3 linked regions of the Danio rerio genome follow. The protein of the gene in region 3 binds, or shares a complex with, the protein of the main gene of each other region. Links are inferred from orthologs where the notes say so. Each region holds a gene or a part of one and is shown on either strand. Other genes may lie near its edges. The genes, in order: fam91a1, stx16 and tbc1d23.

Evidence for each region.
Region 1: the proteins of tbc1d23 (region 3) and fam91a1 are in contact, whole or in part, in a crystal structure (PDB 8JJ9), measured with the Homo sapiens proteins. The link is inferred for Danio rerio from reciprocal best matches to the Homo sapiens genes TBC1D23 and FAM91A1. Residues at the interface, in NP_001186127.1 of Homo sapiens: Arg533, His534, Val535, Ser536, Ser537, Asp539, Val541, Gly542, Lys543, Pro544, Tyr545, Arg546, Val548, Pro550, Val551, Phe552; in NP_659400.3 of Homo sapiens: Arg49, Glu60, Arg61, Tyr64, Asp84, Ile85, Lys88, Gly89, Leu90, Arg91, Ile92, Thr93, Phe95, Ser96, Ile159, Pro161, Tyr176, Ile177, Thr178, Glu179, Asp181, Ile182, Lys190, Asp194, Ile197, Asp198, Tyr216, Asn217, Lys218, Gly219.
Region 2: the proteins of tbc1d23 (region 3) and stx16 are in contact, whole or in part, in a crystal structure (PDB 8QQF), measured with the Homo sapiens proteins. The link is inferred for Danio rerio from reciprocal best matches to the Homo sapiens genes TBC1D23 and STX16. Residues at the interface, in NP_001186127.1 of Homo sapiens: Leu638, Asn639, Ser640, Val641, Val642, Lys643, Ile644, Thr645, Ser646, Lys647, Lys648, Ser661, Ser662, Ala663, Ile666, Thr683, Lys687, Ile690, Met691; in NP_001001433.1 of Homo sapiens: Asp209, Asp210, Asn211, Thr212, Leu213, Tyr214, His215, Arg216, Phe218, Thr219, Glu220.

What each region holds. Positions count from the first base shown.
Region 1 is NC_133194.1:35,575,049-35,578,706, forward strand, and holds part of fam91a1 (protein FAM91A1), read left to right. Parts: coding exon 1-73; intron 74-180; coding exon 181-219; intron 220-3,658. UniProt on the Homo sapiens protein: As component of the WDR11 complex acts together with TBC1D23 to facilitate the golgin-mediated capture of vesicles generated using AP-1.
Region 2 is NC_133181.1:52,364,097-52,367,754, reverse strand, and holds part of stx16 (syntaxin-16), read right to left. Parts: intron 3,459-3,658; coding exon 3,351-3,458; intron 2,803-3,350; coding exon 2,662-2,802; intron 1,202-2,661; coding exon 1,039-1,201; intron 890-1,038; coding exon 801-889; intron 1-800. UniProt on the Homo sapiens protein: SNARE involved in vesicular transport from the late endosomes to the trans-Golgi network.
Region 3 is NC_133181.1:31,423,075-31,426,732, reverse strand, and holds part of tbc1d23 (TBC1 domain family member 23), read left to right. Parts: intron 1-40; coding exon 41-147; intron 148-766; coding exon 767-903; intron 904-1,134; coding exon 1,135-1,179; intron 1,180-3,165; coding exon 3,166-3,254; intron 3,255-3,658. UniProt on the Homo sapiens protein: Putative Rab GTPase-activating protein which plays a role in vesicular trafficking. Involved in endosome-to-Golgi trafficking.

The sequences.
Region 1 (3,658 bases), on a different chromosome or scaffold from region 3:
CCAGGGTGATTATTTCGAAACGCTGCTCTACAAAATCTTCGTTTCCATTGATGAGCAGACTAATGTGTCAGAGGTACATATTACATTTTCCCTTTGAAGTGCACTTGCAGTCTCTTTTCTTTTTCAAGGATTCTGCTTGTCTCGAAGCCTCTCATAGCACTTTTGTATTTGTCATTTCAGCTGGCTAATGTACTGGAGATTGACTTGGGCCTGGTGAAGGTACGTGTCGTGCAGAGATGAAAATGGAGGGCCATTTACATGGAATGTTTGATATGAAATGATGCCTTTATAGCTGGCTAGGAGGGCGGTGAATCCCAGGATGCATCGGTGCTGGTATTACCGTCGCTGCAAAGACAATTTTCCAAATCCGTTGGCCTTTTGATGGCTTGTGAAATGAGTCCTTTTTTGAATGTACGATGCAGACTGCGGAGAACCATTGTGTTCATACGTTCCCTTTGTAGCTGTTTAGCCCCATTTCAGTATCTGGCAGAGTAGAAAACAAGCTTATTCATGAGATCCGTCAAGAAAACCCATAACTCTTTATTAGAAGAGCCAACACTGAAGGGACTCAAAGGACACAATCTTTACCAATTAATTTATTTTTACTGGGGAAAGGCAGTATTCGTTTTCATTATCTCTCTGACATTTTGCTAAGACAAATAGGACGAAACGTTTACTGCAATCATCCTATTAGCGAAAACCAATTTATTTAGTAAATGATGATAACGGAGTACATTTGAATTGATCCATTGCAGCCAATGTCTATATGTGGTGGACAATTTGATAAAGACATTGTAGAAGCTTGAATATTGGATTGGAATTGAAGCTTCTTCTTTTTGATGGATAACTTGTTCAGAAATTCAGTGGGAATAAGTATGTAAGAATGGGGTTTTATGAATATAATACATGATTGTAGTACGGGTGATGCTGGGCCTTAAACCAAGTTTGTGTATGATATTTACAGTCACTGGCCACTTTATTAGGTACACCTGTCCAATTGTTCGTTAACGCAAATTTCTAATCAGTCAATCACATGGGAGCAACTCAATGCATTTAGGCATGTAGACATGGTCAAGACGATCTTCTGCAGTTCAAACTGAGCATCAGAATTGGAAAGAAAGGTGATTTAAGTGATTTTGAACATGGCATGGTTGTTGGTGCCAGACGAGCTGGTCGGAGTATTTCAGAAAATGCTGATCTACTGGGATTTAGTGTACAGTACAGTACAGTCATGCTCAACCATCTGTAGGGTTTACAGAGAATAGTCTGTAAAAGAAAAAAAATATCCAGTGAGCGCCAGTTCTGCAGGTGCAAATACCTTGTTGGTGTTAGAGGTCAGAGGAAAATGTCCAGACTGGTTTGAGCTGATGGAAAGGCAACAGTAACTCAAATAACCCCTTGTTACAACTATGGTATGCAGAAAAGCATCCCTGAACACACAATATGTCGAACCTTCAGTTGGATGAGCCACAACAGCAGCAGAAGACTGGAACTGGAAACTGAGGCTACAAATCGCACAGGCTCACCCAAATTGGACAATAGAAGACTGGAAAAAACGTTGCCTGGTCTTATGAGTCAATTTCTACATGAGTCAACAACATGAAAGCATGGATCCATACTGCCTTGTATCAAATCAGCCTGGTGATGGTAATGTAATAGTGCGAGAGATATTTTCTTAACAAACTTTGGGCCTGTTAGTAATAATTGAGGATTGTGTCAATGCCACAGCCTACCCGAGTATTGTTGCTGACCATGTCCATCCCTTCATAACCACAGTGTACCCATCTTCTAGTCTACTTCCAGCAGTATAACATGCCATAATGCCATAAAGCATGAATCATCTCAGACTGGTTTCTTGAACATGACAATGAGTTCACTGTACTCAAATGGCCTCCGCAGTCACCAGATCACAATCTAATAGAGCACCTTTGTGATGTGGTGGAACAGGAGATTGGCATCATGGATGTGCAGCCGACAAATCTGCAGCAACTGCATGATGGTATCATGTCAATATGGACCAAAATCTTGAATTAATATTTCCTGTTGCTTGTTGAATCTTTGCCAAGAAGGATTAAGGCAGTTCTGAAGGCAATAGGGCTTCCAACCCGGTACTAGTAAGGTGTACCTAATAAAGTGGCCTGTGAGTGTATATATCAATATACTGCAGATAGCTTTTTATTCATTATCTTAAGGACATTTTTAGCAAAGTGACACCGATAAATCTATTAGTGCTAAAAGTCTTATTTAATTTATGTATTCTTTGGTTTGTTGTTTTTTAATAGTGTGCTTATTGATAAAATGTTCTTGCCAGGAAAATAGCCTTTGTTGCTGACACGGCATTAAAATAAAAATTCATCATCATTATAATATATCATTAATATTTATATTATTCCTCACATGGTTATATAATTTGATTCTGCTCATTCTACACAATGAAAACTTGCACATAACATAAACAAAAAATGTCAATGTTTTTTCTTTGCTTTGTCTGTTTTGTAGGTTTATTAAATCTATACAATTATAACAAGGAAAAAATGCAGTCAAGTATAACGAAAAAAGTAGTCTATTTAGTTTAAAACAGTTTGAAAAAGTATGAACAGACAGACAGACAGACAGACAGACAGACAGACAGACAGACAGACAGACAGACAGACAGATAGATAGATAGACAGATAGACAGATAGACAGATAGATAGATAGATAGATAGATAGATAGATAGATAGATAGATAGATAAAATGGTGTTCTATATCTTATCCTTAATGTTTAGTTAGCATTTCTAGTATGTTAAAGCATTGTTAATCATTATTAGCATGACATGCAAGAATTACGGTGTGCTAGCATGAGTCAAACGAGCCAATTCCCACTTCTCTACGATGTTCTGATGCTAAGATATAGCTGCTGTTATGTGGTTGTTAGGTTAGTCTGTTTTGTTGCTATGGAGTTGATTGACAGCTTAAACTGATAATATATATCCCCCCATGTCTCTATAACACTGCAGCACGAAGATATCAATCTGGGCCTTTATAATGACAGTCTATGGGGCAGTTGCTAGGGTGTGGCTAAAAAGTTAAAAGGCCATCAGTGATTGGCTGCTGGCTAGACTGAGTTCCTTGGAGGAGATACAGACAGAATTTTTTTCTCAGAAGAATAATAATAAGTTTAAATAGGATTTCAATAGGTTGGCTATCACAAGCCAGCCTAAATAGGGTGTGAATAATGCATTATTAAGTGTTAAGCTGTGATTAATAAATGCTGTTTAAATGGTGTTCATAATTAGTCAATGTTAGTAAATACGTTAACTAATGAAACCTTATTGTAAAGTGTGACCGTTCATTGTTTATTTTAGTAATTAAATTAACCATTCTTTTTAAGCTTTACCAAAAAACATAACATATAGATATTCTTATTCTCATCATAATTTCAATCACACTGAGGGAATGCAGTGCGAGCCGAAATCCTGACCTACTTTCTCCAGTACCATTCAATCTTCCTCAAGAGCCGACAGAGTTTTATCTTTATATGTGACAGTACGGCAATTTTCTTTTCTGTTCCACTTCGCCTAGACCCACATGGAGAATAACCTCTGGAAAAAAAGAAGGGAATATGTATTCATAACCTTAGCGACTGAGTCAGATGCAACAGATTTCACATTTGTT
Region 2 (3,658 bases), about 21 Mb from region 3:
AAAGGTTGCCACAGTGGAATAACCCACCAACAAAAGTTGTGGTCACACTGGGCTTTTCCTCCCATAGACTTCCATTCAAAGCAAGCGAATGCGTCAGACCGGAAACACGGGGTCATGCGTCAAGTTTTGCAGGTTGCTGTGGTGCAAAGTTCAAGCTTGGTGAACTCTGACCTGCGAAATCGCTCGCTTTTTAAAAGTCTAATCATCTTGTTTAATCCCGCCCCTTTTCGCAGCGCCGTACAACAGAATTGCTCAAACTCTGGTGTGACGGCAACTTTATCCAGCATATGTTTTACACAGCTGATGCCCTTCCAGCTGCAACCAATCACTGGGAAACACCCATTCATTCTTATTCACTATGGACAATTTAGCTTACCCAATTCAAATACAGCGTATGTATTTGGGCTGGGGGGAAACCGGAGTATTAAAATGTAATTAAGGTCTTTATTCCCCCTTACCCGGCAAAATTATCGGCTGAAAGGCATTTTCAGGACATTTTTATGTAGTATACTTATTTATACTGTGCTGCAACACTGGTAAACTGACGCCTGACGCCTCTGGACTCATTTACTTTTACAGTCAATAAAATGTGGTTGTTTATTGTCTCTGTCTCTTTTAATCTGTATAAATATGAGTTAAATTTAAAGAGTCTTGCAAAATTACTTCATATTATTTAATAAAATAATAAATAATTATTATAAACATTGCGTCCATATGAAATACCTCAAATATCCTTTGAGGAGGAAGCGAAAACACACTTCTGGATTAAAATGCAAATGAATTGTGTAAATCAACCTTACTCTGTCATATAGTGCGATATCTTCATCCTCCTCCACAAGTGGACCGGAGTCAAAAAAGTGCTTGGATCTTTCTTCACGGTTCTTCATACCTGTAAACGGAGGCAAACACGTCAATGATTTGTCATGAATTAATAGTATAATGCCAAACTAAAGTCTAAATAAAACCAAAACCGCATAAATAATGCTGTGTATTTATTTAGATATCGAATTATGTTGTGTTTGTGTGCATTAGACCTACGCTTCAGGTATCCGGACTGGGTGTGTCTGAAGTTGAGCGACAGCTCTTGAAGGCTCTGAGCCAATGAGGAGACCACATTAGTCAACAGCCTGTTCTCTTGCTCTGTACAGTGATAACTCTGAGTCTGCAGTCCCGTCACGGCCCGCTGGCACCTGTGAAACATCTATACACACACACACACACAATCTACAAATGCTGAAAATGCTTTAGTTTAATGTGTGCAATGATTAACTGCAGCAATTTTTCCTTCATGTCCCCTTTAACCTCTTTGGTTATAACAGATGCCGCTGTACTATTATTAATGTGTGTGCGTGTCTGTATATACGTGTTTATGACATATCAGGAAACAAATCTGTATAATGACAGGTATTACAAGAAGGTGGTGCATTATGAGGACTTTGCTAATGTCCTCATTTCTCAAAAATCTTATAAATCACATAGAATGAGTTTTTTTAGAAAGTAAAAGTGTACACAATTTTCCTGTGATGCTGTGTTCACACCAGACGCAAAACGCGCGGATAAATCGCGCTATTCGCACATAAATAGCCGCATGATCATTTGAGTTTACTCGCTTCATACGCGCGTCAAACCACGATTCATTCGCCTGTCAAATTCAGATCAGAACAGACGCGGATTCGCGTGATGGGCAGGGCTTCTGTCTGCCCGAAGACTCTAGCTTCATAGCTAAATGGCTAACATAGATTTTATGAAGAAAATAACAGTGTTTATGCGCTTTATGAAGACTGAAAAACAGCGTCGATACGTTTAGGGTCGTGTCTGAGTCCACTACATTCTTTCAGAGGTGCATCCAGCTCTGTGAGCTCATAAACTCCTCCAGAAACTTAATCTGGATGACGAAGGCTTTCAGCGGTGTTTCTGACTGAGCCAAGCCGAGTTTGATGAACTGTTGTCGGTGAAGGCTGAAGGATTTCCCAAGGAACCACGACAACAGGTTCTACGTCACAATCACGCCCCTACAAGAGCAAGCTTCTGATTGGTTAACACGGCGCGAATGTACGCTGGAGTTAAGATTTTCGAAATCGAGAGATTCACGCGAAACGCTCGTTAAGTGCATCAAACGCGCAAAATGCTCAATTCGCCCTGCGTCATTCGCGCAATTTGCGTGATTCGCGCCGCACCATTCGCGCGTATCACGCCGCAGGATGTCTATTCGCGCGTTTGCATTAAATTAACATGTAAATCACTCACGCTTGACGCGCTTGCCGCGTCTGGTGTGAACGCAGCATAAGAGTTGGGTTTAGAGGTATGGTGGGGTTAGAGCAATAGAAAACACAGTTTGCACATAAAAACAATGGAAACCTATGAAATGTTCCCACAATTGACAAATACAAACCTGTGTGTATTTATGTGACATACTATTATGAGGGATGTAAACAAAAACAATGGTCCCACTGTATTACCTGTTTTACATTTTTAATTCCTATAGCTTTAGAGAATCCAAAAATTGATAAATAAACAATAATAAATAATGTTAAAATGGCTGTTTTGAGTTCATTAAGTTATGATTGAATTGCTTCTTGTTACAGTTATGATATAGTCTGATAACAAGCAGGAAATATTCATGAGCCAATGACATGACCAGATCGAAATGGTCTATAATACCTGTGTGATTTCCTGTGTAGTGATCTCGATGGCATGCTCCTCTTCACTGCTGTCATCCAGCGTGGGCCGGTTCATGTGTTTATCGTGCAGACTGGCCAGCTCCTTCATCTTTTGACGAATACGTGTGATTTCATACTGAATCTGAGGGAACAAGGAATTCACTGTTCACTCTCTACAGAAAAACTAAGGTAACAGGAACACTCCAGTTGAACTAATACATGAATGTTAATGGATATGAATATTAGTGACAGAATGTGGAGGTTTGCATCTGGTTTCAAAATGCATTTTTCATTAATCACATCACAAGTGGTCAGTTCAGATGCATTACGTTTGTTATCTTTTATAGCATGCCACAGACGCTGTCGGCAGAGCTTAAAGAGAGTTCACCCAAAAAGGAAAATGTACTCATTATTTACTCTCCCTCAAGTGGTTTCAAACCTTTCTTTCTTGTTAAACACAAAAGAAGATATTTTGAAGAAAGCTGAAAACCTGTAACCATTGATTTCCATAGTAGGAAAAACAAATATTATGGAAGTCAGTGAATACAGGTTTCCAACATTCTTCAAAATATCTCCCTTTGTTCAATAGAAGAAAGAAACTTATAAAGGTTTGAAACAAGTAAAGGGTTTACAGAATGCAAACATGGATTGACAGGGTTTACAGAATTCTTAAAACCTTTATTAATTTACCTCATCCACTCCCTCCACCCATTTAGGCGGGAGTCTCTTTGTGACACCGATAGCAGCCTCTGGATCCAAACTAATACCCGACACCAGGGCCATACGGTCATCTGCCAACTAAAAGACAGACAGAGGGACAAGCAACAGCAGATTATGCAATGGGTACTGAAACTTGCAGATTATGCTAATAATATGTAAATATTCTCATGAAAAAGTCAATATTAAACTGGCTTGTAGCCAGGAGGGGTTCGGGTGATTCGAAAGACCCACCCCCCTACTGACAAAGTTTAGAACTTGGCTGCTATACAAGCTCATTT
Region 3 (3,658 bases):
GACAGGAGTTTGATTCTGACTTTTTGTCTTTAATACTCAGCATTGCAGCAGCACCTGGCAGATATTAATGTTGAAGGGCCAGATAACGTTTATGTTCACTGGATTGTGAGTACCTCAGGATCCCACAGCAGCCTCAGCTCAGCAGATGTGAGTTTAGCTTGTGTGTAACGCACTATACATCAAGAGTTTTTGCATTAAATCAGTGTACTCAATACTTGGGTTGTCATGATTGCCATGATTCCAATCATGGTTTTTGGTTTATTTTAGGGATACTTATCTGAAGTTATGTCCATCTTGTTTTTGATCTTACATTTTGAATGTGGAAGCCTTCAAGCATTTCAGTTATTTTAACTGTTAAAGTCATGATGTTGGAAACAAAAAATCTCATTTGACAATTTATCATATTTTGTTGTATTTTTTCCCCCCGTTATATAAATAAACCTATGAATTCATATTTAAACTGAAAGATTCTGAAATCTCATACATGTACAGGATATAACTTGCTTATGTTTTGAACATATCTATATATATATATATATATATATATATATATATATATATATATATATATATATATATATATATATATATATATATATATATATAGCTTGATACATATGTCTTCATTTTCGTTGTGGTATTTTGTGCCACCTTTTGAATCTTATGTAAATCAAATCAGAAAAATTTGCAAACTTTTTGTGATAACCGCCAAATACCTTTTTATTCTTTAATTATTTATCTTCCTTAATTCATCCATATTTTACAGGGAGAACTGAACAGCACAGATGGCAAAGGAGTTAAATCACTTGTCAACAAAATGACATTTGCACTCAAGTCAAAGTCAGTCAATGTGAAAGAGAAGGTGATCAGCTTCATTGAAAACACTTCCACACCAGTAGAAAGGTGAGGAAATGCAGTGTTCTTTGCACCCAGACACTACCAAAATTCCTTAATTAAGTTGAATTTTTTTTAAATTCAGGGTGTTAACTGATCAGCTGTCTCTCTCTCTCACTTTCTTTCTCTAACCATGAAGGTTAAATGCTGTTGGATAAAAATGTATTTAAAGTGATTGATCTTTTGAAGCCTTCCTGTTTTAATCATCTTCACAACCTATGCCCTGTTATTTCACACTAGAATGTCTTTCAATCTACCATGGCCAGACAAGGGAATTCTGGAGCGGTAAGACTTCGTTAATGTTTGTCTGTGCCCCACCAGCGCGCATCAAGTTTCTGCAACATGCTCTTTCAAGGTGGCACTTAAAGCTTTAGCTCATTGTAGGGGTTTTAAAACCCAGAGTAAATGACACACTCTAACACCATATGCATCTGCATCACCTGCATTTCTGGATGTCTGTTTGACCTTTTGAATTTGCTGTTTTCTGCTAAAAATTTGAGACTATCATCAGAGTTGAGTAACATTCTAGAATTTGTGGCTGTCATTCACTACCAAACATTCACACGCATGTGTAGTAGAACCACTCGGATTGGTGGAAGCTGTGAATCACCAAAGCCTTCTCATTCCCAAATTTTCACCTTTTTAATTTTGAACCTGTCACAGGACCCATTTGGTGTCGTTATTCATTGTGCAAGGTAGAGTGGCATATGTTGAAAAAAAAAGTACATTGCAATAGTTAACAGATAAAATGAACGGCTCTATTTGGATAAGTTTAGATTGACTTGCATGATTTCTGTATAAAATATAATAAACCACAAGCATCAATTAATACAGTTGTGCAAAGGTACTAATATATAGCAGCATTTATTTAAACAAATTGAATCATCAAATGGTAAATACACTGTATAGTCTTCATTACTAATATGATCATTTCTTGTGCCTAAATACTTTAATCTGTCTTGAAATGCTCACACAGTCACAGACCTTAAAACACATGCAATTGATAAACATTTTGGTTACTTTATGGTTAAACTTTGCTATGAAAAGAAATTGCATATCCTGTGATTTGACAGTTGTGGATGTGCACATTGCGGTATCGATGCAGAGTAAACAGATTTGCTTAAAATATTGCAACGCAAACAATGTTATGGGTGATTTATCAGAGTTCAAAAGAGGACAAATTGTTTGTGTGCATCTCGCTGACACATCTGTGACCAAGACAGCAAGTCTTCGTGATGTATCTAGTGTAATGTCAGCATACCACCAAGAAAGAAGCACTACATCATATTGGTTAAACTTTGCAATTGAAAATACATTGCAGATCCAGTGATGTGACTATTGTGGATGTGCGCATTGTGAAATCAATGCTGAACTGATATGTTGTACAGCCCTAGTGCATTGTGTTCCATTTTTTTCTGTGTAGACGTATTAGGATAGTCTCTAATTCAGTGTAGTTTGATGAGGAACATGAATTATTTTGATATCATGCGCACCCCTAATTCCACCATACAATGGTTGGGGAAACACTACATAAAGCACAGTTTATTTCATTTGTATTTTCTGTTGTATCATATTATTATAATTATTATATATTTATCTGTCTTTGTTACTTATATTTTATCTAGATTCACTCCCTTAAAAATGAAACCTGGTCAACCTAAAATGATGAATTGTCCAAATAGAGCTATTCAAGTCATCTAGAGAAACCATTTTGATATTACAATATATATTGCAGGAAAACAAAATATTGTAATATTAGAAAAAAATGACATTATGCAGCCCTACCAATGGGGTCTTGATCTTGAGAGTGAGAATGGGTTTTGAACCACAGGTCTTTTTGTCCGTGACAATGTTGGCTGCTTTCTTACACTGCATCTGTCACTATGTACCTTTCCTAGTTTTACGCCAGAAGTTTCTGTCTCGCAGGCTGAAGTCTGGTTGAAGTCTGCTGTCTGAGTCCTCTTTGATTCCCTTAGGGAGACTGCAGTCCTGTCTTTGTTGTACTGTTTTGAGCACAGCTGTAGAAGGCTGGGGCAATTGTGACTTAAACCGTTTGCAGTAAAATCGACTGCAAAGTACCTGGTCTTCCACATGTTGCTTCTCATTTCAGTTAAAATGCAAACATCCTAACCTCCCTTTCTTTCAACTAACAGTACTCGCCGTTCTAATCCTAGAGGACTCGTCATCTCATTGCCATGCTCCTTCAATTGCCTATATCATGAAAAACAAGACAATTCTGGTTGGAAATCTTATTTATTTATTTTTATTCAGGCATGTAAGTAGCAGTGATCGAGTGGGGAAACCATACAGGGGTGTCAAGCCTGTCTTCAGCATTGGAGATGAGGAAGAGTATGATACAGGTAGATACCATGTCCTTCATCAGGGGTGCTCAAACTGCAGAGCTGCTATTAACCAGAGATAAGCTGGTTTTTGATTTAGTGTTTGAAAGGGGCATGGGTTGCTATAAGATTCTAACGGGACGATAACCTGTGATAAAAATACCACAGCTTCATGGTTTTGTGATTACTGCTCCAAAATATATTCTTTTTCAATGTCTGGGTAAAAAACAAAAACAAGAACTTTTTCTTTTCGCTTTGAACACAATGGCTGCATCCGAAATTGCATACTTAAATACTTTATAGTACAATAAAATCAGTATGTGAGCTGAATAGCAAGTCCGAATTCATAGAATTGGAAAAACAGTGTGTGATAAGTACCCAAATGACTACTAGATTCTGAGTGCGCCTCCGATGGACTCTTTGCT